Linked DNA regions of Coturnix japonica. The protein of the gene in region 1 purifies or fractionates together with the protein of each later gene. This does not show direct contact. Links are inferred from orthologs where the notes say so. Each region holds a gene or a part of one and is shown on either strand. Other genes may lie near its edges. The genes, in order: DDX5, EED, EZH2, SRPK1, IGF2BP3, SNW1 and HDAC1.

Region 1 (3,018 bases):
GAGAGAAAAGCTGTGCATCGTTAACAATAGCACTCACCTGAACCTCTGTCTTCAATCAACTGAAGCAACTTAGGGTTGATGGCTTGATTAGCCTCCCGAAGCACAGAGATGAGGTCATTTACTTGCTTAATATTGTTAGGAGTAAAGAATGTATATGCTGTGCCTGTTTTGGTACTGCGGGCAGTTCGTCCAATTCGGTGGATATAGTCCTCAGAGGAGTTAGGGTAGTCATAATTGATGACAAATTTCACATCTTCCACATCTGTAAAGTGTTGCAGTGTGGCAAAAAGCGAGGTACAAAGTTTTGCACACCACAACAGCCAAATCGAAGATAAACGTTAGACAATAGTACTTTCAATGAAATAATGGCTGCAAAGAACAGTGTTAGAATTATCCATTTCTGCACGAATATTGTGGAAGAGGAAGATATGCACACTCCGTCTGTTCCCGTCTTATCACCCACCCTGTGATCCAAAACCTTACCATAAAGGAGTATGCATTTGCTTGTCATTCCCAACTCAAGAGTCCCCTTTACAAATCATCAAGTGACATCTGAATGCTTCTTGCAGTAGGGCCACTAAAGCTCACAGCAGCCTCTTCATGTGCTCATTTGAGGACCTTAGAGTAAAAACATACAAGGTCCTTCACATACACACTCATTAGAAGCTCAAAAAAAATGGGCCACACTGCTCGTCTTGCCAAGACCTTTGAACTGCAGCTGCAAGAAAAACATACCTGTCCCCCAAAAGTCACCAAGTTGTTTTTATGCACTGTCTCGTCTAGGCAAGCACTTCCAAGAAGCCAGCGTTCACTTGAGAATGTGTCTCTCTCTGGCAGGTCTCGACATGACGACTACATATAGGTGGAGGAACTTCGACTTTCAAAGGCATTTAGAAAAGCCAATGCTTTCCTGCCCCACTTGCTAAGGTGAGAGGTGGACTTTTGCTCAGATTTCATGTGCCAGTACTCACCAATTTGTACAAGGCTTAGTACGTTTTAAAGCTGCTCTCTCCATTTCATGGTTAGAAAAAAAATTTCACTGAACATTCAAGATTTTTCTTTTCCTCAACATTTCAAACTCACCGAAATTCAAAGACCCACAGATCACAGCAGACAGTATGCACAAAACTAACAGTACTGCACCATGGCAAATCATGCAAAGCATGGAGAGAAGAGAAATACCAGGGCAAAGTGAACTGTGAATGAGGCTGCTTATTTCATGAGAGAACAGTTTATGGGGGAGTAGTTTAAAGGATGAACTTTGCCTTTTGAAGATTACTGGCACACAATGCTCTCAGTTTTCACCTCTCTATTTGACTGGAAGCAGCCAGCCGATCACTTCCACTAGTCCTCCATCCCCCTCGAGTCCTCCGATTGTCATGCCTAGGCCTTGCCACAAAGACTGCACCTTTATGTGAAGAAAACTTAGAAAAATGCAGAGGTTAAAGAAAGCAATAGACTTTCTTTAAATAACTTTGGGCAACTGGCATTACGAGTTGTACTAACCTAGACCTCGGGATGCAACATCTGTAGCAATCAGGATTGGTGCTTTTCCATGTTTGAATTCTGTAACACAAGCAACTCTTCATCAGTCTCTTTGCATCAAATACCAGATAGACAGCAGCCTGCTTACCAAACTGCTGAAATACTCACCATTTAGAACCCAGTCTCGCTCCTGCTGGCTTTTATCACCATGAATACCCATTGCTGGCCATCTGAAAATACAGAAGTTGATTAACCTCAAATAATTGAGTACTTCCATTATTATGACAGCTACTGGGACATTCTCAACAGCTTCTGGATTTAGCCTTTCAGCTGACACCTGGTCAGACAGCTGGACACCATCACAGGTGGTCACTAATTAGACCAAGCGTGCTCTTGATTCTTTTGGGGTGGATCATTTAAGTTCGTGCTTCAACTTACCCATCTCTCCTCATTTTCCTGGTAAGATCATCACAACGTCTTTTGGTTTCCACAAAAACAATTGTCTTATTTTCCTTCTCACTCATTATTTCCTCCATCAAACGAATAAGCCTGTCATGAAGAGATAATGAAACATTCACTACCCACACTGTGCAATTTCTTTCCCCTTTTAACATGGAGGGCTTCTAGCAGTATTAGATTAGCATTTAATACCCACTAAACTCATCTCGGTTGATACAGAAGTTAAATCAACCGTCAGAAACATACTGAGTGTTTTACCTCCCCCAGTAACTACTCACTTGTCGTCCTTCTCAACGTCATGACACACATCAACAATCTGCAGGATGTTGTGGTTTGCACTCAGTTCCAATGCACCGATGTTGATGTGGACATATTCTTTTAAGAAGTCTTCAGCCAGCTGCCTGACTTCCTTTGGCCACGTGGCACTCCACATCAGAGTCTGCCTGTCAGGCTGGAGAGAAAGATTTTATCAGTACAAAATTAACATATCATTAAGTAAAACATAAACACAGAAGTCTACCCAGAAGTCTGAGCTAACTGCGCTATCCTTATCCTTGTTTTAACAAACACTGCTGTTTCTGTAGTACAATTAAATGCAGCTACCATCTATACTCACTCTTATCTGATCCACAATTTTTCTGATTTGAGGTTCGAAACCCATGTCAAGCATTCTATCAGCTTCATCAAGCACTAGGTAAGTGCACCTCCTGAGGTTGGTCTTCCCAGCTTCTAAGAAGTCTATAAGTCTTCCAGGTGTTGCAATGCAGATTTCCACACCTAAAAAAATTACAAGAAAAAAAAAAAATCAACCAGTAAGTCAGATAAGCAGTTTTCGCATCACCTCACACAGATGCATCCAGATTTATCCTTACCTCTTTCTAGATCACGAATTTGTGGTCCCTTTGGAGCACCTCCATAAATACACGTAGACTTCAAGCGACATGCTCTGCTATATTCAGCAGCTACTTGCTGCACTTGCTGAGCCAGTTCCCGAGTTGGTGCCAGCACAAGACACTAGAGGTAAGATGCCCAGATTTAGTTCCATAAATGCAATTTCTAGTCTTACATTTTAAC
Region 2 (4,584 bases), on another chromosome or scaffold:
GCCCTTCATATCTTCTGAAATTGGAAAGGCAAGTGGTTTGGACTAAGAACTAGACAGAGGGAGCATGAGGTCTGTCATGTTGAGAAAGAAGTCCTCCAGAAAATCAAACAAGGGAAGGCAAAGACCAGTTTGGCCCAGCAAGTTGATGATGGAGACTGAAGGGTTTTGCTGACTGATTCTGGTGTGGGTGGGAAATCTTCCTGTGTGCAGGCCAAGAAGCACAGCCTGACTGGGGCCCTCACTTTCCTTGTGTTTGGGATGAGCTAGTGAAACGTGGAGGAGCTGAATGTGTAGCTGGCCATCTGGAGGATGTCAGGTGACAGCTGCAAAATGAAGGGGAGCTGTCTTCTCTCCATTAGCTCAAGGTCATCCGTGATGAGAAGTTAAGAACACTCACTGCTGAAAACTCCGTGCCCGCCCTTCATTTCTAAATCACAGTCGTGATTTAGTCTTAATTAAGATGCCAATCTAAAAATATCCCGTCATATTTTAAGAACAAGTCAGTTCATTCTCCGTGTATGTCCTCACAAAGGTGTAAAACGCTTTTATCACAGCCTTGATCTTAGTGCATGAATTTGGGCAGCTGCAAGTTCCCAGAGCTTTTATTAATTGTGATCTACAGCCTTTTGGTCTGTATTATACACTGCACCAGTGGAGCCTACAGGAGGGACTATTGCTAAAAACACTACAGTACACACACCAGCTTAAGCACCTCTCCTCCCCCTTATCTCTGAAGTTCATGCCAGATTAAATTGTAGATACAAAGGCAAGGTTCACTTCTGTCACTGCCCTCCAAGAAATCACTTTGCAAGGCTGGAATGCCTCCTCCAGGGAGGAAAGCTTTGGTTTTTCTTCTCTGAGAGAAGCAGATAAGGCACTGTGCCTGCGGGCAGATTACTTCCCCTATTTATCAGATATATATATATACATACATACATATATATATATATATGTTTATATATAGGTTTTGTTTTTGTTTTTATTTTTTTGTTTATTTTTTGGTTTATTTTTGTTTGTTTTTTGTTTGTTTTTCCACTGTTCGTTATTATTATGACTCTGGGACATGTGATTTTAGGAAAATAAATAAAGAAATAAATCATCATCTGGCAACTGCAGTATTTAATTTACAATCTGCAAGTGGTAGGAACTTGCCATGGGGCATTGAAACAGGCCATTTTTTCTTCTCTCCCAACAGCATTTTTTAGATGAAAGTACTTTTTTTTCCCCCTCATTCCAGCCCTGCCTGGGTGACAGGGCAGGGAACAGACACCTCATTTCTCTATAGAGCATTTTGGAGAGCAAAAGAACCAAAAACGACTTTGTGGATGAGGAACTTTGTGCTCCTCACAGGACACAGGAGCTGTGGTAACCAGAACCTCGGGCTACTTTATATGCCACGAACGTGCTCGAAAGTGCTGGTCCAGGCCACAGATAACGGTATAAAGTGTCATTATGCTTTATTATGTTCATACATTCGATTATAAATAATAATAATAATAAGAGTAATTAATAGTTGAGTTAATAGATGGGCGACACCGCCCGCGCGACGCGGGAAGGCGGATTTTTCAGCAGTGTGGCAGCTGAGGGGCAGCCAAGCGCGGTGCTGCTTTACGGCAAAGCATTGCGACGCCCCCCCTGCCGCGCTTTACGGCTGCGTGGCGGTGGGCGGTGGGCGGTGGGCGGGGAAGATGTCTGAGCGGGGAGAAACCCCGGCGGCGGCGGCTGCATCGACGGGAGAGATGCCGGCTAAGAAGCAAAAGCTGAGCAGCGATGAGAACAGCAACCCCGGGGATCTGTCTGGAGATGAGAACGTGAGGCTGAGTTGGGGTGTAAGCGGGAAGGTGGCGGTGGCGAGGCGGGAGCATGAGGCAGAGGGGCCGCGCTTTACCCCGCGTGCGTGAGGGAGAATTGGAGGCCCTGAGGTGTGAGCGGTTTTCAATGTCACTTTTTAAGTGGTTTTTATTGCGATGTAGCGAGCAAAAATCTGTATTTTAGGTATATCTGTCGTTTTTCATCGCTGCCTCGGTGTGGGGTGTTCATTAACACGTTGCTCGGTGTTAATTTGTGCACACAGAGTTTTGGGGAAATGAAGGAATAGGGGGGAATCACAACGTTGTAGGGGTTGGAAGGATCCTTTGGAAACCATCCAGTCCGACCCCTCTGCTAAAGCAGGTTCCATGCACTTGTGTGCTCATAAGTTGCTGTCAGCAGGAATTGGCTGTAAGGGATGAAGGCTGTTACCTCTCAACTGCACTAAATCAGAGTATTTAAACCAAAGGTCGTGAGATTGATTCCAAGTAACTTAACAGCTGAAAAGATCAACTGATTTGGGTCTGTACTGAGTCTGGTCTTGTTCAACATCTTCATCAGCGACCTTGATGAGGGGATAGTGACCACCCTCAGCAAGTTTGCTGATGACACGAAGTTGGGAGGATTGGCTGACACGCCTGAAGGCTGTGCTGCCATTCAGCGAGACCTGGACAGGCTGGAGAGCTGGGCAGTAAGAAACCGGATGAGGTTTAACAAAAGTAAGTGTAGAGTCTAGCACTTGGGTAGAAATAATTGCATGCACCAGTACAGGCTGGGGGAAGACCTGCTGGAGAGGAGCTCTGCTGAGAGGGACCTGGGCGTCCTGGTGGACGACAGATTGAGCATGAGCCAACAGTGTGCCCTTGTAGCCAAAAAAGCCAATGGCATACTGGGGTGTATTAAAAAGAGCGTGTCCAGCAGGTCGAAGGAGGTGATCCTCTCCCTCTACTCTGCCCTGGTGAGGCCTCATCTGGAATATTATGTCCAGTTCTGGGCTCCCCAGTACAAAAAAGACAGGGAACTCTTGGAAAGAGTCCAGCGGAGGGCCACTAAGATGGTGAAGGGCCTGGAGCATCTCCCCTATGAGGAGAGACATAGGGAACTGGGTCTGTTTAGCCTTGAGAAACAAAGGCTGAGAGGGGATTTGATCCAGGTTTATAAATACCTGAGGTGTGGGAGCCATAGTGGTGAGTCTGGTCTCTTTTCAGCAGTGCGTGGGGATAGGACTAGGGGTAATGGTATGAAAGTACAGCATAGGAAGTTCCGCATGAATGTGCGCAAGAACTTCTTTACAGTGAGGGTGACGGAGCACTGGAACAGGCTGCCCAGGGAGGTGGTGGAGTCTCCTTCTCTGGAGATATTTAAGACGCGCCTGGATGCCTACCTGTGTGACATGGTGTAGGGAGCCTGCTTTGGCAGAGGGGTTGGACTCGATGATCTCTAGAGTTTCCTTCCAACCCCTACAATTCTGTGATTCTGTGTGATCGTCTGAGCAATCTGGTAGTCGGTTTATGCAGTTGGTGAACTGGGGGAGTTAATGACATAGGAGTTCTGCATGGTGTCTTTCTTGGTTAGAGCACTCAGTATGGGCGTTGGAGCACATTGCCCATAACCTGTGCAAGAGCAGCTGCTGTTGAGGTGCTGCGTGCCACTGCTGCTGGGCCTTATTCACTGAACATCACTGGACATGCAGGCCACACGTTTGTCATTCAGCTTCTGCAGAACATTAAGGTCATCGGAAGGGATAGAGAAGGAAGGAGGGGCTGTGTGGTAACTGTGTGTTAGGGATTGTTTCGGTGTTTGGCACAGGCTGCCCAAGGAGGTCATGGAGTCACTGTCCCTCAAGGTTTTCAAAAAGAGTAGATGCGGCACCGAAGGATGTGGTTAGTGGGCATGGTGGTGGTGGGTTGATAGTTGAACTAGATGATCTTAAATGATTTTTCTAACAGAATCACAGAATTATCAAGGTTGGAAAAGACCTAGAAGATCATCTAGTCCAACCATTACCAATACTTCCAGGCTAAATCATATTCCTCAGCACCACATCCAAGCGTTTCTTGAACACTCCCATGGTCGGTGACTCCACCACCTCCCTGGGCAGTGCATTCCAATGCCTGACTACTCTTTCTGAAAAGTAATACTTCCTAATGTCCAGCCTGATTCTCCCCTGACGCAGCTTAAAACCATTCCCTCTAGTTCTATCACCGATTACATGAGAGAAGAGGCCAACCCCCAGCTCACTGCAGCCTCCCTTCAGGAAGTTACAGAGAGCTATAAGGTCTCCCTTGAGCCTCCTCTTCTCCAGGCTGAACAATCCTTAATGATTTGTGAATCTGGGTGTGATGTGGTGACAGAGGCTCTCAGGTTTGCTTTGGTGTCTGTTATAGGCTGTCTCAAAGGTGGAAAGTCTCCTTCTAAAACTTTGTTATGAGCTTTGTTGCTCCTGAAAGGCCTGGATTCTCCTTAAAAGTGGACGTAACAGTGTTGATTTGCAAGAAGTCTCTTTTTTCATGGAATCATAGAGTAGTTAGGTAGGAAGGGCCCTCAAAATCATCTTGTTCCAACCCTTCTGCCATGGTCAGGGTTGCCAACCACTAAATCATGCTCTAGATCAGGCTGCCCAGAGCCCCATCCAGCCTCGCCTTGATCACCTCCAAGGATGGGGCATCCACAGCTTCTCTGGGCAGCAGTGCCAGCACCTCCCCAGGTACTCCACAGGTATCCTGAAGGCATGTTTGTTGGTCATGTTTTAGTTGTAGTTACGTGGTTGTATTT
Region 3 (4,766 bases), on another chromosome or scaffold:
AGAAAGCAGCAGTTAGTTTGCACTCTCCATATATACAATTAGTACACTCACTAATGTACTACAAGAATTCCCTACTTGCTAAGCCAAAGTTTCCTTGTAGATAAGCTGAAGTACATTTACATCTCACCTACAAATGCCATATCATAGAACAAATATAAACCCATTAGAAGGCATATTTCCAACAAAGTCACCCACGATATTTCAACTCATTGAAAATTCTAGGTAGAAGAAAATACCATGTGGAAAGCAAAAAATTTTGAATTTCTAGTCTCCAGCCTAAGCTTATAGACTATTGCTTTATCTGATTTTAAACTGAGCAAAGACTTTTAATGTTCTTCTGCCAATAAGTATTTTCAGTGTATGTCACTTTCAGAGTAATATTTTAGAATGTCTAAAAAAGTATTTTATTGCATAAAACTTTTGAATAATACCTCCTAAAGTACTAGAACCGTGTTTTCTGAAAGACACTGTAAGCCTTATCTATATTATTATGATCTAATATAAAGCAAGGATAGCTACCATACACTGTGGACAAGTAATACTCACCCTTCTGAAGATGCGTTATTGTTATCACAATTAAACATTCCCTGAACTCTCAATTTGATACAGACACTGGGGACAAACAAAGAATGACCTTTTAATTTTTACAAGTCACAAAGAACCGGAATGTGCCAAGCCCTAAAAATAATAATAATAAATTAAAAAATAATGGAAAAAAAGGGGGGTGGGGTAGGGGGAAAGAGGAAAAAGAGAAAAAGAGAGAAAGGACTTGTATATGAGGAAATCTCCGTTTAGAAGTTTATCGTGTACTAAAAATACCAGTAAAGTCTCGCTGAAGTACTGAACGGTTGGATCTGCAATTGCTCGACTTGCACAAAGACAAACCTATCCTGCAACAAATAAACAGACCAAACAAAAACAAAACCAAAAAACCAAACAGAGAAAAAAACCAAGGCCCTAGTTCCAATGAAATATACTGTTTCATAACTTTGAAAAAGTATCTTGAGCCAGGTACAGGTTCATTATACCATTTTTGCTACATTATGCTGAGACTGCTTTTCTTTCTGCCCATTCCTAATAATTTTTGGATGTTCGTACTTAACACCAGATACACATGCGTTGCGCTACAATACATTGATTTCATCACCTTTGTCTGATCACACACACGCCTGTTGCTCCAGCACAACTCCGTCCCTTTCACACCTCCCCAAACATGCCGATTTCAGAGATCGCCCCACACACCCGCGCTTTGCGACATTAGGTCTCCAACTCAGCAGTTCCAGCTCCCTCCGAACTCTGGAGGGCCGGTTAGCCGAGCAGCGCCCTTCCCGACGAGGAAGTTGGCCGGACAGATTGACTCCCGCGCCGTCCCCGCTCTCCCGCACTCGGTGCCCGTGAAACTCGCCGGGGGCTGGAGAGCCCCGTCGCAGACTGGCCGGCGGGACGGCAACGTGCGAGGGCGAGAGTGGGAACGCTCCGCTTCCGGGACACCGCGGGCACATGGGGCTGCCGCGGACCTACTCGCACCCCAGGGCGGGGGCTACCGCCGCGTAACAACTTCTGCACCGTGCTTCTCTCTCGGAGGGGGCTGAGGCGGACAGAACGGACTTGTCTTCGCGTTTCGGACTCACCGAGACCTCACCTTGCGTACGTTTAACACACGGATCCCCCCGCCGACCCCTCAGCGAAACCGTGCCAGAGGCAGCCGCCACCACAGGAGGCCGGCAGGAACGGGGAGGAGAGGAAACAGCCGGCTCCTACCCGCTCTTTCTCCCGCACGGCGCCAGTCGCCCCCCCCGCCCAAGGCTCCGCTCCGCCGAGCGCGGCGCGGCCAGGATGGACAGAGCCAACTCAGACAAAAGGCACCGTCGGCTCCGCGCCGCTCCCTCCGCTGTCAACGGCTGCAGAGCGGGCGCGAATCTCGCTGCCGCCCCCCACCCCATCCCGTTCCTTCAAGCGCGACGCGGCGCGCTGCTCGGGACCGAGGCGGTCGCGCCCTCCCTGTCTGCCTCCCCACCCCCCATAACAAAGGGAGTCGGTTATAAATAACTGCTCCCGGCCCGCAGCCCGTACGGTGGTTGTGGTGCTGCTGCCGCTGCCGTCCAGCTCACCCGTCCCCTCGCTCCAATCTCGTGCCACCGCCACCACAGCCGCTTCGCTCCCCGACTCTTCTTCCCTCCTGCCTCCGGCTGCCGGATTCACCCTCCCGGACCGAGCGCCAAATACAGTGGCCCAATCGGTAACACGTTCATTGGCGAGAGCCGAGCGCCGCCCCGATTGGACGGACGCGGACGGAGCGCCCCGAGCCAATCAGGGGCGGAGAGGGGCGGGGAGAGGGGCGGGGTCCGTGCCCCACGTGCTGGCGGGAAGGAGGGGTGGGGGAGCTCTTTGTTCTCGCGCTGCCGCCCGGGCTGGCGGTTTTGTGCCCTCTTTGCCCGTCCGTGTAGCTGAGCGGGCAGCGGGTCTGGAGTTTGAGGTGCTCCGGCCGCCGCCTCACGGGGACTGGGGAGGGGAGGGAGGCGAGGGGTCCGACGGGAGCGGGGAGGGGCCTCGCGTCTCAGTGCTGCTGAGTTTGAATCAGTTCGAAAGTGGGAGCTGTAACGGTTTTAACAGTCGTGCTGCTGCTTCCGCGCGCTGCAGAGAGGGGAGGGGACGGGACGGGACGGGACGGGACAGGACGGAGAACTGGGAGAGGCGCGTCTGCGACCAGGCGGGAAGATCCAGGCGGGGACTGGGGGTGTTGTTGGCAGGAGCTGCTTACCTCAGCACGGCCCGCTCCCTGCCCGTCGCTTCCGCGGCGGGCTCTCTCCTTCCCGGCATTGCGCCGTGCCGAGCGTTGGCTGGCTGAGTCACTAACCAGAGTACGTGATGCATCCTCCTGCCGTGTCATCTGACCTTTGCGCACCCAAACCTAGCACGTATCTGTCCTTTTGTTTCACGCTGTTGCTCACGAATTTTGGTGCCTTGCTGTTCTGTAACCAGCATGGATTCTTAACTGTCAAAATCCCATTGTGTCCCATCTTGGCAGTGATGGTAAATCACAGCAACAGCAAGGTGTCCATTCTGCATAAGGCTGGGATCCTGTTGCTAGTGATACACTGTCTCTAGCCTAAGGTTGCTACCATTTTCCCTCGTTTTTATTCTACGACTCAGTCACGTTGACAAGGAGGTACTTTAAACCTCAAGGATTCATTCCCCCTTAGCCTTCTTTTGTCTCACTGTTTGGCCACTGCAGCCCTTCTTTGTTGACTGGAAAAACAAAATTGCCAAGATAAGATCATGGTGGGAAACTTCCATGTATGCTTGTCACCATCTCTCCTTCCTAAGCCTCCTGTGTTCAGCACTACTTCTGAGGTAGAATGGATTGTGAGCCTTGTACCCTTACTGTCTGTTACCAGTGTTTCTCACCTTCCCTTGCAAATCACTTCTGATACATTCAACTACCTTGTCTCATCTTTGTGTGAAGCCCAAAAATTAGCACTGTCCACCATAATGAGGTTCTGAATGATAAAAATCCTATGAGAGAAGATCATTGACACAGCTTCATGCCCAAATCTTTCAGCTGCATTATAGGCCAAACAAGGATCAGAGTTCTTTTAATGTGGAACAGAAATTATTTCCTCTTATGTTTGCATGTCACGAAACGATATATTGTCATACTCTTTCTTTGATTCTACTAGAGTAGATGACCTTTTCCAAGATTACGTTAAAACTATCAACTTTGCAAAATGTCAGTCATTTCTTGAAATTCAGCTATTTAAATCTATTCTGCTCCAAGATGGCTGGCACCACCAAAATGGCTACCCAGTCTCTTCACAGCTTGGAACTTGTAGTTTTTTTATTGTTAGAATTGCACTTCATGAGATCTTATCTTAGTCTATATATATATATATATATATATATACAACTCCTGTGCTAAATAAGCATAGCGTAACTTTAAGCAAGCACTATAGTCAGTCACAAGGTGAAAAAAAGATGTGTGGAGACAACACTGAACTCAATTGCAGTACACGCTTCAGTTTTTGTCTTGCACAGAAAGTTATTCACCTGCTGTACGTGAAGCTAATGCTTACTAGAAAATAAAACACATTTTGAATGGAACTACTCTTTCTGTTTTGCACTCTGTGAAAACAATCTTTCCATGCTGCATTTCAGTTCTAGAAGTGATGAATCCTCAGTGAGGATCTCCACGAAGTGTCAATTTTCTGATCATATGGGCTATTTAAAATAACCTGGAGAATTCTGGCAGCTTGTTTCTTTTTTTCTGCACGTGGATGCTTAATGTTGTAATGAGCTGCTTATAGACTTTCTGTTTTCATGGAGTAAACCACCCAAACATTTTTCTGTTCTGCTGCATTTTCATGATTAAAGAATGCCTGAACACCAATCTGCATTATGAAGAGGCATTTGGACCAGATCTGTGAGCAAAAAATATTACAAAGGTTTCTGGAATAATTATGAAATCTGTTATTCTGATGAGTTGTTATTCTGAAAAGAGTCAGTTCTGGTGGCAACATGTAATAGTTCTGAAAAAAAGTAACTAATGTTGAAGATGTTTATTTTGCTTAACAATCAAAATAGAACTAGACTCTGGAAGAGAGTATCTTATCTGGCTTGGATGCTTCTGGAATTGTTGAAATCTTTTGCCTCTCTTTTACAAAAAACTTTCTTGAAGAGATTTTTCTGTGCTCACAATACATGAATGAAAAATGACTTCAGGTTTTTCATGTATGACTGAAAACAGAATGGGGATTTGTTGGTTCTGA
Region 4 (4,790 bases), on another chromosome or scaffold:
AAAATACAAGGCTTGATGAAATGCCCAATTAATGCAGCATGCAGACTCACAGCCTGGTTCTATTAAAATGCTCATTTTACTCACTTCAGAAAAATTAAGCTGCAATACAGAACTATTTGTTCTGTTTCTTGTCTAACTGCTCTCAATCTAGTTATTTTGGAGCCTAGTTTTTTAAACCCTGATTCTTAGGCACAGCAGTACCTGGGTCAAAGAACAGCCTGGTGATCCGAGCCTGTGACACAGATAGAAAGAGCCACAGAGTACAACTGCCAGCAAAATACATACTACCATTGTGCTTAATTCCATTACAAATTACCAGAGATGTGAGTAAAATACACCTGCATTTGTATTTTTGGTCAAACAGCAGCTGTTTTGTATCAAATCTTCCCACCTGTATCTATCTTCCCACTTCCTGGGCTTTCGTTCACATGATGCAAGACTTACAGTACATGAAATGACACTCCAACAGAACAGTGGTGAGTGCCAGCCTCGCTTCAGCCAGGAACAGCTGCTCTGTCTGCAGAGCTAACTCCCAGCAACGCTCCCCCTCCAAACACCACCGAGGACTCAGAAGCCAAACAGAAACCTGCTGCTCACCTGCACTGCTTCCAGCACACCAGCTCCATAGAACACACAGCAGCCACCTTGTGGCTGATGGAAGCCTGTGCTGCTGGAACAGCCATTGCATGGCTCCCCACTGCTCACAGCAGACCAGAGCACGAAAATGTGGGGATTAGTTCACAGGAGAAAAATCAACATGCAAACACAAAGGAGCAACGCACAGCTCCAGACCCTTGTTCAAATTATAGAATCACCAAGGTTGGAAAAGACCTAGAAGATCATCCAGTCCAACCATTCATCCATTACCACTAAACCATGTCCCTCAACACAACATCCAGTCGTTCCTTGAATACCCCCAGGGTCAGTGACTCAACCACCTCCCTGGGCAGTGCATTCCAGTGCCTGACCACCCTTTCTGAGATGTAATACTTCCTAATGTCCAGCTTAAATCTCCCCTGCCGCAGCTTGAAGCCATTCCCTCTGGTCCTATCCCTAACGACACGAGGAAAAGGCTGACCCCCAGCTCACTACAACCTCCCTTCAGGAAGTTATAGAGAGCTATAAGGTCTCCCCTGAGCCTCCTCTTCTCCAGGCTGAACAATCCCAGCTCTCTCAGCCTCTCCTCATAAGGCCTGTGCTCCAGACCCCTCACCAGCTTTGTTGCCCTCTTTTGAACATGTTCCAGGGCCTTGATGTCTTTCTTGCAGTGAGGGGACAAATGCTGTGCCCAACACACCTGCCTGCCAGCACTGAGTTCTGCAGGGGTCAGAAACTGCTTCAAACAATGAAGCCATGCCAAAACCTGCATTCCTGACAGTCAGGCAAAACCATTGACCTCAACGCACCTCAAGATCCAGCTGCTTGAAAGGTTGATGGTTCAATCCATAAACTGTTTAGTTTTGTATTTTTATGTTTAACCATAACTAGAGAATTCCTAACACCAATTTCACCCTTTCAAAACTCACGTGTGCTACACTTTCTTACTAACTTCATACAGAAAAGCTTGTAAGCAATCAAATATCACTGAACATAAGATGTTAAAGAGACATTCCTTGTGGCTTCGAGCCCAGATGTTATGGAGGGAGCCTTACAACAACCCAGTAAAGCTTATTTTAGATTTAATCAGAGCCGCTTTGTATTTAAATAGCATAACTGTTGGGGTGCTGTGCCTCAAAGCTGGAGGTTGAGCTTTTATTGCACCAGGTAAAGCCCAAAGTACATACGTAGAAATACAATGCACATCTCCCAAAGAGCTTGGTTCAGCCCTTGACCTCTCCAGAGCTCTCTCAGAACAACTGGAAGTCTGTTGGAGACAGAAAGCAACAGAAAAACTCTAAAACAGCACGATTTGTCAGAGGAAGTGACTAATAACACGCTGTAAAGAAAGATACACAGAACTCCCTGCACCACCAAAGCTTTTATGTAGGAACCATTACATGGCCTGATAGTGACAGGACAAGGAAGAATAGCTTTGCACTAAAGAAGGGCAGGTTTATGTTGAGATGTTAGGAAGAAATCCGTCACCAGAGAGAGGTGAGGTGTTGGCTGCTGCTCAGAGCTGCGGGTGCCCCATCCCTGCAGGTGCTCAAGGCCACGGATGGGCCCTGGGCAGCCTGAGCTCAGGGGACACTCGGCTCACAGCACGGAAGGGGCTGTAAGGTCCTTTCCAACCCAACCATTCTATGGGGCTGTGACCTTTAAGGGCCTTTCCAAGCCAACTACCTACTCTGTGGTTCTCTGATCCTTAAGGTCCTTCCAACACAACCACGCTGCAGTTCTGTGCTCTCACCCAGCGGACAGCAAAGCGCTCCCAGCACCACGCAGCACCGGACCGGGCTTTACACCCGAACCGGGTCCGCGTGCAGCACGGAATGCAGCGTGCGACGAGCCCCGCAGCCGGCCATTGTTCAGATCCTTCCATTTCTCTATCCGCGCGGTGAAGCTCAGCGCACGAAAAGCCCCGTAACATCCCTGCGGCCAGAGGGCGGCCACGGGAAAACAGCACCGTCAAAGAGCGACGTAACCGCGCCAAGGAGGATTTTAATAGGAGGAAGAAAGGGGCGTGAGGGGAGGGCGAGACCTCCGGGAGCGGCGGGAGGGGCCGCGGGGCTCCGGTACCGGGACAAAGCGGCTCCGTTTCCCGCCCCACGAGCGGCCCAGCGCCCCGAGCAGCCCGTCCGGGATGGGTGAGGAGGGGCAGCGGGGCCGCACTCACTTTCTCTGGGCCTTGTCCTTCTTGGCCTTGGTCCGCTTCTTCCGGGCCTGCAGCGCCAGCACTGAGAGGAAAGAGACAGAAAGAACGTGAGGACGGCGCGGAGCCGCCGGACCGAGGCCCCCCCGCAGGCCGCGCGGCGCTCACCTTTCCGCTCCATGGCCGCCAGCGCCGGGAGCCCAGGGAGTCCCACGCGCCTGCGCACTGCGCCGTGACCCTGCGCCGCGCCGAGCCGCGCCGGGCGGAGCATGCGCGGTGCGAGCGGCTTGGCGCTTCGCCCGGCAGCGCCGCCCGCCCCGTCCACGTGCCCGCTGTCCCCGCTGGAGGCGGAGCTGTGCGGGGAGCCCGCCCCGCCGCGCTGCTGGCTCCGCCCCCTCCCGCCCGGCGCGGGGCGGAGCTCCGACGGCTGCGGGCGCGAAAGCATCGTGGCGCGCGGCGGCGCGCGCGGCGGAGGGAGGGGAACACCGCGCGTGACGTCATCGTCGTAGTTGTGACGTCAGCAACCGACGCGTGCTCCAAAAGTAATGCATCCTATTTATTTCCACGGCCGCTTCAACACGTACGAAGAGCACAATAATGTTTGATAGAGCAAATTCTCACCTACAAAATGCTGCTTTTCGGTATAGTTAATGCCACTAGCTGAGCGTTTTTGCCTGTGATAAACAAGAGCTGTCCTGCCGTGTCCACAACAATCTGCAACAGCAGAGGTGACCCACTGACACGCACCCCACGCTGTGCTCACAGCCACTGCTCAGTGCCCATAAACATTAACGAGTGCCAAGCAGTGCCATGTCTGCCACCCGGAGGAATTCAGGGACACACCTTGGCTTCATTTGCACTCTCGTGTCACACACATCACTTTGCCCCCCTGCTGCTATGTCGTGCTTGACCAAATGTAACAGAACATTGCAGGGAAGGTTGAACCTCTATTGCCATACCACCACTATCTGCCTTTGGCATCGTGGCCCAATGTAACAAAATAGGAGGCATTACTTTTGGAGCTGCCCTCGTAGGCTTGGCATCAGAAATGTGGGTTGGAATAATCATTAGTGTCAGAGCAGAATTAAATTCAATGATGCGACGTGGAGAAGGATGCCCTCACTCTCAAATTTCAGCCTTCCACAACGACTGTGCTACAAGTAACACTGAGACCTTGAGCACGATGGAGTACACTGCTCACATCTGACAGCAGCCACATAAGAAAGTTCCTTCCTTGAAGGAGTCGCAATAGACCACAAACACTGCTGCAAGCTCAGTGTATTGGCTGCCTGTTCCTTCTGTGGGAACTGTTGTCCCATATTTGCACTGGGACTCTGCAGTTGGTCCTCACAGCGCATGTTCACACCCCTGTCCAATACTATGCATCACACTTCAGTGAATTTGGCCCTCAGAGGGATGCTGAGACGGCCCTTTGAGGGCTGGTGGCCCAAACACAGCCACCTTTCCACAGCCAGCCTGGCACTCATTTTTGAAGCAGAGCAAATGCCACCACAAACTATGCCCATACATAACCAGTTTACCTGGTCCTTCCTCATAGCTCCCACACAGTGTCACACAGTGCATCCTGTTGCCCTAAGAACTGTTTGTGCCACACTCTGGGCAGCTCCTGAGGTTTCTCTACTGCTTTATGTTTTCTGCAGCCATGTGTGAAAAAAGGAATATGTTGAGAAAATGCCAACACGGCTGGCAATGTTACACACACTTTGCATGGTGATGTTCTGGGATCTGCAGCCTGTAATTCAGCACAGTGGGAAAGCTGCCTGGGATTCTGCAGCATGCCTTTCTAGGAAAACGTCATGGGTTTATACTAGTTCAGAAGGACATTAGAAAGTTGCCGTCTGCACAAAACAGCTGCATTTGTTGCAACTAGGTCAGGTGAAAACATCAAACTGCCTCCAAACACACTACTGCAGGCAGGCCTTTCAACTCTGACTTTAGAGGTACAGGTGGAGTCCTTGGCCATAAAGTACGTGCTCTGTCACTGCACAGCCTGTGTCCAGGGATTTGTGCTTGGTGA
Region 5 (4,004 bases), on another chromosome or scaffold:
AACAGAGCATAGGCTGTGGTTGTTGCAAAATTTAGTTTAATTAAAAAAAAATTAAAAAAAAAAAAAATATATATGTATCCTTAGCTCTGTTTGGGGAAGAAGAGGCCCTTGCTGAAAGGCAGAGGTGATGTTGCTGTAGTTTGAGGTTCTGAGGTGGTTGTTGTATGAGAGGATGTACTTGGCAGAAGGGAGTGGATTTAATGTGTCTTTTGGTGCAAAAATGGCAATGGGGTGGCACAGTGGGGCTCTTCTGTAGCCTTGACTAAAGTCATGCAGAATATCTCATAGAAATGCTTGCTTCTAAATTGCTTTTAAGCAGAAAAACTCATATTCTTTCCAGAGGAAGTGCGGTATATGTCAATTGTTACTGTATAATATCTGTTGTGACAACATGATATGTCTGTAGGTTGGCTGCAAACAAAAGCCTAGTCTTTTCCTCCCCTGTTACTTCTGAGTGGGATGCTGCTTGCACTGATTTCATGTAGGATTTTGTGAGTGCTGGGGTTCTGGTCTAGGATCTTTTAAAGCCAGAGGAGCTGGAAGCGTTTTAGGAAAGAAGCAGTGTCTGAACTTGTCAAATGAATGCATGGAAGGGAACGAGCTGGTATGAATGTCAATCTGCTGCCTACCAGCATGTTGGCAAAATGGTTGGTGCTCATCTCTTCAACACCTTGAGGTTTGATTCCAAAAGAAACAAGGCCTGGGCAACTGCACTGGCTGATGGTGCCATTCCCCTTCCCCACAGCTCTTCTCTTTCTTGGCTGATTTCAGAAGAACTCAAACCATAAATAGAGGTTGCAGATATTTGCAGTCAGTGAGAGCTGTCTTTCAGCTTACATAAGACTTCATACCCCTTCCCCAAATAATATCTCCACCAAGAGAGCCTTTGGTGAAATACCTTTTCAGTGTTGCTACTCCGTGCTGAAGCTCAGACTTGAAACTTGCTGTCCTGTGTGTTTGTCTCTCATTAGTTGTACTGCTTAGTCTTTTCTGTTCTTGTAAACACAGCATTTTGTGTAATAAAATGCTCTCTGAAGTCTGTGGAATAGAAGATCAGAAATGTCAGTTTTGTAATGGCCTCGGCAAATTTTAATCGAGCTCTCTTCTGCCATATGCTGTAGGAGATTCTCTCATTATGGGAGCAATTACACTTCCATTCCATTCCCAGAGGACCTCTGTCTCATTTGGTGAACAGAAGTATTTAATGAGCAGTGATCAGTTATTCAATATTTTGCTTTCCTTGTTGTTCAGTGGGGTTGCCTTAGGCCTTATTTATTATCAACCCTTATTAAATGCTGCTCCAAAGACAAGAATTAATTTTGTCAGCTCTTTACTGTCCTACTGGAGAGTTTCACAGACACTGGTTTACTCCCTGAGATGTGACGGTGTGTGTTATCCTCCTTATTCAATCTGAGGGTCATTGTCCCAGTACAACTTATGGATGTGGCTGCTGCTCTCTTCCAGCAGTGGTTTGAGGCCAGGGGCCTGATGGTCGAGTGGGACACCTTGGTGGTGAGCAGTGCTTCTCTAGCTGCCCTTGGAAATGGTTGGCCTTGTATCTCTGTGGCAGACTAAGGGGTAAAGCTGTCATGGGGGGCAAACGAGATTCAGTTTCTGTGTCTCCAAGACCTTGCTACAAAGTGCATGGTTACTATGAGCTTTTTAAAAGAAAATGTTGGTGGATTCCTTAATATGCTATACAAAGCTCCCTCCCTCTCACTAGTGTTTTTAATTTAACCTTTAAACAAAATCTCTACAATTTTTTTGTCCTAGATTGTGCCCAGCATTCATAAACTACCCCCAAATCAATGTGTGTTCCAGTGATATCAGTATATCACATTGCCGATAATGTCAGTAACATGCCTTCTGTGGTGAAACTAAAACTTTTTCAAATAGCTGCATGAAGCTCATACTAACATGTTACCAGTGTGCTGTGGGTAGCTTAGTTACTCGTCCTGCTTCCTGCATCTTCTATTTTATTGACATTTCCTCTTCTGCTTGCAAATGCGAAGTCTTCTACCTTCCAAAATCTGTTGCTTTTGGCCCAGGAGTTGTAGAGAAGTGGCTCGGTCAGGTTGATCTGTGCATGTGGAGCCTCCTTGCTCAGTTGAAATGCCTGTGTTCAGATGCTTCTCCCTCCTGTCAGTAATATCATAATGTCCTCCGCATTACAAAGGGGCATAGAAGCTACCTTATTTGTGGGTGCTGCTTAGAACGTATGTGACCAGGGTATTTTTGTGTTAGGTAAAATCACCTGCTGCAGTGTGCCTGACCTTTGGTATTCCTTCTAGTGGAAACTAGCAATGATTTGCCAACTGATCCATAAAGAAATTCAGATTTAGAGCTTCCTGTAGCTGGAGGCCTCTTTTAGATGTAACCATTGTCCGAGTGGCCTTCAAGTGTTTAGTGCTATATTGAAGACCTGCTTTACTCAGTGTAGTGGGATGGTACGGTCCTAAGGGCAGAATAGAGCTTGAAACACCATATAAATGCCTTCAAAACACCTTTGCATTGATCCAGAGCATCAATGATGTTTTAGTTTTAATTTGCTGGTTAACTTTTAATCCATAACATGTTGGTAAGCTGATGTTTCAAGTGCCGTTGACTGGCTTTGAGTACTTTTTCTCCTGCCGAGAACGAAGCACAAGCTGTTTTTCCTATCTATTTCTGTCGTAGCCATGTCAGTTAGTGCAAAAAACCTCCAGCCAAATAGCTGTGCTGGCAGAAACTCTAATGAAGGTGCTGTGATATCAGCTAAAGTTTTCCCTCTGGTGCAGCTTTAATTCTATTTGGGAAACTGATTTAAATTACAGCAGGCAAAAGAATGCTTTTGAGTATATAAGCCCTGTCTCCTGTGAGGTTTTGCTGATAGGGTTGTACCAGCAAAACCTTTAAAGTGCGTGGAAGCCCAGAGCAAGCAAGAGCTAACTTGTTCTTAATACGGTAACTTTTACTTTATTCAGTCAAGATTTAGATTTAAAATATATATATAAATATTTGAAAATAAGCTTTTACCCAGGAACCAGACTTTTGGCTTTTATTATTTGATTTGGGACGTGCAGAAGGCTGCACTTGAATGAATTCTCATTCTTAAAAGGTCTCACCGTGACTTCTATTTTTTTCTTTTCCCCAACACCCTCCTCTTCTCCCCTTTGCAAACAAACAGAGCAATAGAAAAACTGAACGGGTTTCAGCTTGAAAACTATTCCTTGAAAGTCGCTTATATCCCCGATGAAATGGCAGCACAGCAACCTCCACAGCAACATCCCCAGGGACGACGTGGATTTGGACAGAGGGGCCCTCCAAGGCAGGGTTCACCCAGCGCAGCCACGCGGCAGAAACCACAGTCGGACGTTCCTCTACGGATGTTGGTTCCCACACAGTTTGTTGGAGCCATTATTGGGAAAGAAGGAGCAACCATCAGAAATATTACAAAGCAGACTCAGTCCAAGTAGGTTATAAATGTGTCATCTTCTGTGCTCTGTGTGTGCTGTGCCTCAGTTTGTGTTTCTGAAGGAAGCTCAACCTTACGGATAGAAGAAGGGATTCTTTTCCTTTTTTTCTTCTTCTTTAAATCTGGAATATTTGTGTTACTGAAATGTTCTTGGTTACAGGAAGGGATTGTCTCCCACTTCCCCCATAATGCTGTTATATCCTTTGGAAGGCTGCTGTTTCCTCAGCAGTATCGTCTTTGGAGACCAAACATTTTCGTTCCAGGTTGTGTAATCAGTGTTGCTTTCTGTTCTGGGATGGCAAGTAGTCACTTTAGGAACATGTAAAGCATGTACAATTTCACAACAAATGAAAATAAGTGCAAATAGGAAATTTTTGGCAAGATTGAAGAACTTGATTCTGCCCTTGATGCGTGTTCAAATACTTGCTTCTTTTGTTTCCAGTTCACTTTGAATGAAATTAGGCAGTGCTGTAGGATGATGCTGATGCCAGACTTACTTAGCAGATGTAATAATAAGACTCTGGGAACAAAAAGGGAAACTGAAAACTGA
Region 6 (3,646 bases), on another chromosome or scaffold:
GCACAAACCAGTGTAATTACATTCTTGAAAGGCTGGGCAATCTCATTTTAAGATATTAGAGATTTTAAGCTTCCAGAAACCATTTGTCCTCAAGAAATCTCACCAGCTTGGGCAAACAAGTTGCTTCAGCTCACGTTCATAAATTTAAAGTCACTTTAGATGAACAGTTTCAAGAAAATCCACTGATTGTATTTTGGTCTCACTAAAGGTGCAGGTACCAACCTCTGTGCTGTGAACACAGTCATCAAGCCCAAATACGCTGCAGATGTGCAAACCAAGCAACCCTTTCCTCCCTCTAAAAGAACACAAAAAACCCCACCCAAAACAACAAAAATGACAATAAATAACTAAAACCTTTTCTCTTATCTGGAAAATTCACAACATTTGAGTCAGACACATCTGACTGCATATAGTCTTAAGTTTAAGTTTCCAAAGACATGGATTCTACAAACAAGTGCTATATCAATGCCTAACACTTACCGCAGGGTAGCCCCACACTTCCTTTCAACTTAAAATACTATACATTAATTCAATATTATGATTGCAATCTATTTCCTGCATAAACCCTAATCACAGGAACACCACCATATTCTAACACAATAAAACCATTTCACACCAGTGAGCATCTCCACAAGGTAAAATTCAGGCACTGATGTCAAGGAAATGGAGAAAGCTGTATGTAATAGCTTCTGTAGTGGGGAATCCTGTACTAGTACAGTAATGAAGCAGCTTCTTTGCTTGTGACTCACCTTTTATCAGGAGCTGCTCTGGAGAGATTTCTGTCGTGCTGTCTCTCTTTGCGTCGGTCATGTCTTATTTCATCTCTTTCTCGAGCTTCTCCATCCTCTGAACACATGCAAGATTGCTTATTACAGACAGCTACTCAAGTCTGAATTAAACTACAGCACAGACATTGGCACAGTGATTCAATATTCATTTCCAAAAGAGAAGGGATCCTTAGCACCATATGTTACTTTTTAAACAAATTAGAAAGGAGAACAGTAACTTTCTCACGCCACAAGCAATTAAACGTCCTTGACAAGAGAGTTACAGCACACATACACAACAACTATGTTTTCTGAACTTTAAAGAGCTCAGAATTCTTGTCCACCTACAAATTAACATCCCCAACAGCTGCAGATGATTGTGTCATACCCTCTTCTCTGTTACATGTTAGTATAAAAATGTCATTCTAATACAAGGCATCTTCCAAGCACCTGGACAACCTGTTCCACTGTTTTTTGTCCTCATGATGAAATCTGTTTCTCTGCGTACACTGGTGGAAGCACACACTTCAGCTTTTAACCACTATCTCATTCTTCCACAGTGTAGCTGTTGATCTCTCCATAGGAAGGCTGACATTAGGTTACCATCAAGCTCTCTCTACTGCAGGCAGAGCATGCTTCATTCTCTCAGCATCTCACCACACAGATGCTCTGGCCACCTGGCCATTTTGGTGACCCTCCACTGAACTCATTCCTGTTCATCAATGTCTGTCTTGAACTGAGAGTCCCTTAAGTGGGCACTATTCCAGATGCAGTCTAGCAGATGACCAGTAAAGGAAAAACAACTATTTCCCTTGTCCTTCTGGCTGCACTCCTGCTGATGCAGCTTAGCATACCCCTAGGAATACTGCTGCCAGGGCGTGCTGCTATAGCTTTTCTTCAGCACATCGTCCGCTAGGACTCCCAGAGGTGCTTCTGAACACAACTGCTCTGCAGCCTGCTAGTTCTCAGCCTGTACTGCTGGAAACAGATTAGTCCATCCCAGCTGCAGTATATGACCACATTCTCCACCTTTAAGTGACATTAAGAGAACTGCTTTGTAAGTTCAGCACCCTGATCTCTGAAATGTCATTTCAATCAAGACATAACACACCACAATGGCTATGATTTAGTTAGGTTATTAGATTCTGAGCCTGGTAGCCAAAGCTACTTCTCCTTAAGACCAATTATAACAACATCAGAGACAGAATACTGCGTTTACCATCTTTGAAAACTTAAAGATCATTTAGTGCTCACAGATGAAGTCAAAACAAGCCTTTTCTGAAAAAGAAATCAAATTACAACAGTCCATGAAAGCCCTTATGTTGTAATGATCCATCCACTGTACTGATACAGTGATCAATTTCTCAACAACCTCCTTCAACCTGACGTTGAAATTCAGATCCCCATGAATTAAGCAAACGAATTTGGATATTTTAATTTCTCAGGTTATTTCTGCAAACCTACACTTCAGAGAGTGCAAAAAACCAAACGACTCCACAGAACCTCAGCAACAAAATGTACCTTTTTCAACGTGGGTTTTAATCCCTGCTCTCCTTTCTCTTGCTTTCTGGGCCATTTCTCGGAGCTTTTCCTCATGTTTCTCTTTTTCTTTCTGAGCCATTTTCCTCTCCACCTGGGCACGCATCTCCACAGCCTCACGAGCCTGCACACATAAGACCCCTAGTTAGCACCTGGGATGCAGATCTTCTGTCCCGGAGTTACACGGTAAATGGGAAGAATTGAGTCCTATAGTTAAAGTTCAAAACCAGAAAAATACCAAAATTCAAGCTGAGGAACAACAGACATGACCTGCGATAATTTAATCCACACTGAGCCGCTGATTCAAACACACTGGGGATAAAAACGTTACAGTAGCCTAGAAGCAGGACAGACCAAAAAGCTATAGCACTCTCCCAGCTGATTTTCCCAAGGAATCAAGCACATAATAAAGGTACAACCACATGAAACAGAACAGCTTAAACAACCACCTGACCTTTCTGTCTGCTATATAGAGAGCCTCAGCAAGCTTGGCAAAGTTTTCATTGATGTGAACAGTCTGCAGTCCTCTTCCATCTGCAGCCAGACGCTTGTCTAATGGGATGGTGTAACCCTAAAGAGGAGATGAGCAGTTACAGAAATTAGTAAGGCTTTTAATAGCAAACTTGTATTGCATTTATTGGGTAAGAAAACAACAACAAAAAAAATACACTATCACAGAAGTCAGCCAATCATTCATTGTATCATCAGGCCCCCCTCCAGGGGCCTTCTTTAGACGTACTCCAAATTCATACCAGGCAATAATAAGCAATTCCACCCCCACCTCAAATCTAGATCACATTTTTTGTTCAAGTATGAATGAGAATGAATTTGTGATTAATAAGCTCCACCTTTTGCTTTAAGAATTCCAGATGACAGCTCTCCTACTCTCTAAGTAGTTTTACCATTTGTATTTAAAACTCGACTCCCCTGAACTGTTTTTAAACCTATTAAGAGACTGGCTGACTCAAAAATGAGAAATTAAGGGCCAAGGCTGTAAGCAAAAGCAAGAGACTCTAGATGCTGCCTGCTGAAATCTGCAAATATCTATAGATATTTTAAGATCCCTTAGATAACTCTACAACATTTTTGCTTTGGTTTTAGCATCTGTAACCTAAAATTTGATCTACTAATTAGTGTCAGTCCCAGTGATGCAGCTGTGTTGGGGTAGGAAAAATAACATCAGTGCATGCAGCTTGTCCTTCCTCCATTTGAAGAGGCTGCCTCACAACAAAAGCTAAAGTTCTAGAACTAGATTGGTCACTTCAGCATGTTCTAAGTTTTCCCTTCTCTCTGAACATAAACTTACCTGCTGATACAACCAAAGGTACAAGACACATCTA
Region 7 (3,161 bases), on another chromosome or scaffold:
GCGGGATCCATCCCCATTGATGGTGGAGGGAGGGATAAAAGCCCAGTGCTTGCAATGTGGGTGCTGTGCTTTGTCGGGGTGTTGTTCCTGCTGGGCTCAGTGCACCCAACTGAGCTGCAGGGCTGAAGGAGCTCCAGCAGAGCGCAGCGGCCGTGCAGACGTGGCAGCCATTTTAAGGCGGCCGGGGAGGGAAAAGGGATGCAGCTGCACGTCGGCGTGTAGGACAGCAATGGGGCTGGGAGTGCAATGGGACTGAGTGCAATGGGACTGAGTGCAATGGGACACATGGCTGCTCATAGAGCAGGACGGCTTTAAGTGTGAGCTGCAGCTCCTGGGGCATCACTGCAGCAATGAAGGGCTGTGGCACTCGAAGCTTTTCCTCCTCTCCTTATGAGGCAAAACCACCCGGCTCATTTAATCGTTATTTTTCTAATTAATTGAACAGCAGATTGCAAATAAAAACCACAACCCAGGCACTCATGCAAGAAATAAGCACCCAAGTGCTTTAAAGCGCCATGTAACCCATCGTCTCTATGGATGATCATGGTTGCCTTCAGCAGCAGGCAGTGCAGCATTAACAGCACACAAAGGGCTGCGATGGGAACGGCCCCGTGTGGGATTGCAGTGTGTGTGTGTGTGTTGGGGGCTGAAGGCTGCGCTATAAAATTGAGGGAAATAAAGGGAATTTCAACACCTGCAGCAGGATCTGCTGCACGCTGCATGTTCCTACACACTGCTTTGGCCCTCAGCACTCAACCAACACATCCACGTCCATCACCCTATAGCAGGGGAGGCTCCTCTTGCAGCACACTGTGACTCCACCCCGCGCACAAAGCAGCTCCAGCTCAGACCAACCATAGAAATGGACGTTTTATTACAAAGGTTCTCCAAATTTAAAATAAAAGCATCTTTAAAAAACCACAATATATTTCCCCCCCTCCCCTCCCCAGGACACAAAGATGCACCCATCCCTCTCGCTTCACATACAAACACTGAAGAGCGGGAGTGAGACGTCACTCGGGTTCCAAGAGGCTACAAAAAACTGATGGTGGAAAAAGGGAGGAAAAGCACGTAAAAAAATAAAACATTTCAAAAATAACCTGTGTTAAGTTAGCAGCATTATTAGAGTTGAAACCAGCAGCAGCAGCCCCGTGGGAGGTACAGACCCTCTTATGGACAGAGGAATCGCCCTGAGAAAGGAGAGCAGCGAGTCACAACTGCCTGCAAAACTTGTGCAAAGCTGGAGCTCTTGGTGGAACGCTCATCTCACGCTCAGCTGTACAAAGCAAGGTGTGAGAAAGGCCGGCTCTGAGCACAAAAGACCTTTGGGTGTGAGATAACGTGTGGGAGTAGGAAGAGGAGTAGTTCTAGAAACGTACAGAGCCCCATCTGCTGTTCCCTCGTACAGATAACAGCGCTGCCTGCTGATAAAAGGCTCTCAGCATTTACTGGCCTTGAGAGCAAAGAGAGGGAAGGATCCGCTCGAAAACGTGCCTGCTCCAGGAGGAGATTCTTAGTAAGTGGCACGTGGAGCAGAGGCACCAGCTGGGCCCTGCCCGTCTGTCCTGCTCTGCTGTGCTTTCAGCAAGGACACGGATCAGCACTGAAGCAATTACAGCACGTGTAGCTGAGGGCAGCAGCAGAGTGAAGCAGGCAGCCAGGTGGGCAGTAACTCACCTCCCCCCTGCAAAGAGGGGCACAGCTCTAGGAAACGAGTGTACAAAGACACACAGCGCTGCCAATGGGATCCGCCACATCCCGGGAAGGGTCCATCCCCACAGCTCTCTACCTGCAGGGCTCTGGGCAGATTCACTCCATCCACCTCCTGATCTGCCTGTCAGCTGTTTCACCTCTCTCCACAAGTCTGCTGCAGGAAAGTAGCCAACTCTGTCCAAGAACTGCACTATTTGACCCTGAGAAGCGGCACCGGCTTGTAGTTATTGCCGTGGTGGAATCAGACTGAAGACCAAAGGACGCTCCGTCTCTCACAGGCTTCATTTGGGAATTCACATCTCCCACAAAAACAAAACAAAACAAAAGAGAGAGAAAAAGGAAAAGAAGCAGAAAAAAAGCAAAAGCTTCATGGCCATCTTCCCACCTAACCTGAAATGCAGATGCTACTTCTACTTAAATTATTCATTCTTAAGGGCGGTTACTTCAGAGGAGAGCAAAGAAAGGAAGTGATTCTTTCTTAAAGACACACTGAGGAGCTGGTGGGAGGCAAAGAGCAAAACTTCCCAGTTCCAATGCTGGGCAATGTGGGTCTCTCTACTCTGCAGTCCTCCCTGCCTGCTCCCAGCGGAGTGCAGCGAGGAATAATTTACAGTTCTCAAGTCATTTATATATTTATATAGAAATATATACAGAAACATATATAAAATATAAATCCTGTGGAATGGGAGGCAACCGGAGAAGCTAACCTACGACAACCACGCACTGACAGGCGCCGTCCAGCCGCAGCCATCTTAGGTGGATTTTGCCTCTTCCTTCACCCTGTGGAAGGAAGCAGTGGAGAATCTGGTTTAAACAAATACAAACTCAGACAGTGAAGTGCCAAGTCAAGAGACACCGTGCTCACCCCTTGGGTTCAGCTTTCTCCTCTTTTGCTTTTTCCTCTTCTTTCTCATCTAGGAGAAAAAAATAAAGGCATGGGAGGGCAGTAGGAAAGCACACATCAGGCAGTGCTCTACACAGCTGGGAGGGCTTCCAGCCATAGCCCTCGTGCTTACCCTTCTTCTCCTCCTCCTCCTTTTCCTCTTCTGTTTTCACACGTTTGGCCTTCTTAAAGTTGGCAACGTTTTTGCGCCCTCCTTCCCCTTCATCTTCGGAGTCAGAGAATTCTTCATCACAGGATATTCTCTTATCAGAATTGCGGACTGAGAGTGAAGGGGAGAAGAGGTCAGAAGATACTGCGCACTAATGCTTGGAGATGTACAGGCTCTGTGCAGTGCACTTCCCAGCAGAGCAATGCAGCCATGCCAGAGGCAAGCACCTACTTGAAATGCGCTTCTCAGGATCTTCTTCCTCTTCATCTCCACTGTCTTCCTGAACAGCATCCTCAGGAATTGGCTGCATCTGGACACCAGGGGCATGAGGCAGCATGCGCAGATTCTCAAAGAGACGCTGCCTAGAGCCAGCCAGGAAAGGAACATGTTTGTATT

Evidence for each region.
Region 2: the proteins of DDX5 (region 1) and EED purify together in Homo sapiens (affinity purification with western blotting; 3 studies listed by BioGRID, with this or other methods). This does not show direct contact. The link is inferred for Coturnix japonica from reciprocal best matches to the Homo sapiens genes DDX5 and EED.
Region 3: the proteins of DDX5 (region 1) and EZH2 purify together in Homo sapiens (affinity purification with mass spectrometry; 4 studies listed by BioGRID, with this or other methods). This does not show direct contact. The link is inferred for Coturnix japonica from reciprocal best matches to the Homo sapiens genes DDX5 and EZH2.
Region 4: the proteins of DDX5 (region 1) and SRPK1 purify together in Homo sapiens (affinity purification with mass spectrometry; 3 studies listed by BioGRID and IntAct, with this or other methods). This does not show direct contact. The link is inferred for Coturnix japonica from reciprocal best matches to the Homo sapiens genes DDX5 and SRPK1.
Region 5: the proteins of DDX5 (region 1) and IGF2BP3 fractionate together in Homo sapiens (co-fractionation; 3 studies listed by BioGRID, with this or other methods). This does not show direct contact. The link is inferred for Coturnix japonica from reciprocal best matches to the Homo sapiens genes DDX5 and IGF2BP3.
Region 6: the proteins of DDX5 (region 1) and SNW1 fractionate together in Homo sapiens (co-fractionation; 3 studies listed by BioGRID and IntAct, with this or other methods). This does not show direct contact. The link is inferred for Coturnix japonica from reciprocal best matches to the Homo sapiens genes DDX5 and SNW1.
Region 7: the proteins of DDX5 (region 1) and HDAC1 purify together in Homo sapiens (affinity purification with western blotting; 5 studies listed by BioGRID and IntAct, with this or other methods). This does not show direct contact. The link is inferred for Coturnix japonica from reciprocal best matches to the Homo sapiens genes DDX5 and HDAC1.

Annotation. Positions count from the first base shown.
Region 1 is NC_029533.1:7,253,901-7,256,918, reverse strand, and holds part of DDX5 (probable ATP-dependent RNA helicase DDX5), read right to left. Parts: intron 2,959-3,018; coding exon 2,817-2,958; intron 2,722-2,816; coding exon 2,561-2,721; intron 2,396-2,560; coding exon 2,223-2,395; intron 2,035-2,222; coding exon 1,924-2,034; intron 1,716-1,923; coding exon 1,654-1,715; intron 1,567-1,653; coding exon 1,507-1,566; intron 263-1,506; coding exon 38-262; intron 1-37. UniProt on the Homo sapiens protein: Involved in the alternative regulation of pre-mRNA splicing; its RNA helicase activity is necessary for increasing tau exon 10 inclusion and occurs in a RBM4-dependent manner. Binds to the tau pre-mRNA in the stem-loop region downstream of exon 10.
Region 2 is NC_029516.1:170,394,281-170,398,864, forward strand, and holds the start of EED (polycomb protein EED), read left to right. Parts: upstream 1-1,664; 5' UTR 1,665-1,688; coding exon 1,689-1,811; intron 1,812-4,584. UniProt on the Homo sapiens protein: Polycomb group (PcG) protein. Component of the PRC2/EED-EZH2 complex, which methylates 'Lys-9' and 'Lys-27' of histone H3, leading to transcriptional repression of the affected target gene.
Region 3 is NC_029517.1:75,450,756-75,455,521, forward strand, and holds the start of EZH2 (histone-lysine N-methyltransferase EZH2), read right to left. Parts: upstream 2,871-4,766; 5' UTR 2,821-2,870; coding exon 2,762-2,820; intron 2,286-2,761; exon of another isoform or gene 2,074-2,285; intron 1-2,073. UniProt on the Homo sapiens protein: Polycomb group (PcG) protein. Catalytic subunit of the PRC2/EED-EZH2 complex, which methylates 'Lys-9' (H3K9me) and 'Lys-27' (H3K27me) of histone H3, leading to transcriptional repression of the affected target gene.
Region 4 is NC_029541.1:496,289-501,078, forward strand, and holds the start of SRPK1 (SRSF protein kinase 1), read right to left. Parts: upstream 3,213-4,790; 5' UTR 3,198-3,212; coding exon 2,921-3,197; intron 2,838-2,920; coding exon 2,777-2,837; intron 1-2,776. UniProt on the Homo sapiens protein: Serine/arginine-rich protein-specific kinase which specifically phosphorylates its substrates at serine residues located in regions rich in arginine/serine dipeptides, known as RS domains and is involved in the phosphorylation of SR splicing factors and the regulation of splicing.
Region 5 is NC_029517.1:28,565,164-28,569,167, reverse strand, and holds part of IGF2BP3 (insulin-like growth factor 2 mRNA-binding protein 3), read left to right. Parts: intron 1-3,166; coding exon 3,167-3,451; intron 3,452-4,004. UniProt on the Homo sapiens protein: RNA-binding factor that may recruit target transcripts to cytoplasmic protein-RNA complexes (mRNPs). This transcript 'caging' into mRNPs allows mRNA transport and transient storage.
Region 6 is NC_029520.1:35,692,454-35,696,099, forward strand, and holds part of SNW1 (SNW domain-containing protein 1), read right to left. Parts: intron 2,878-3,646; coding exon 2,761-2,877; intron 2,431-2,760; coding exon 2,289-2,430; intron 847-2,288; coding exon 750-846; intron 1-749. UniProt on the Homo sapiens protein: Involved in pre-mRNA splicing as component of the spliceosome. As a component of the minor spliceosome, involved in the splicing of U12-type introns in pre-mRNAs.
Region 7 is NC_029538.1:4,502,243-4,505,403, forward strand, and holds the end of HDAC1 (histone deacetylase 1), read right to left. Parts: intron 3,128-3,161; coding exon 2,997-3,127; intron 2,877-2,996; coding exon 2,730-2,876; intron 2,628-2,729; coding exon 2,579-2,627; intron 2,494-2,578; coding exon 2,466-2,493; 3' UTR 858-2,465; downstream 1-857. UniProt on the Homo sapiens protein: Histone deacetylase that catalyzes the deacetylation of lysine residues on the N-terminal part of the core histones (H2A, H2B, H3 and H4).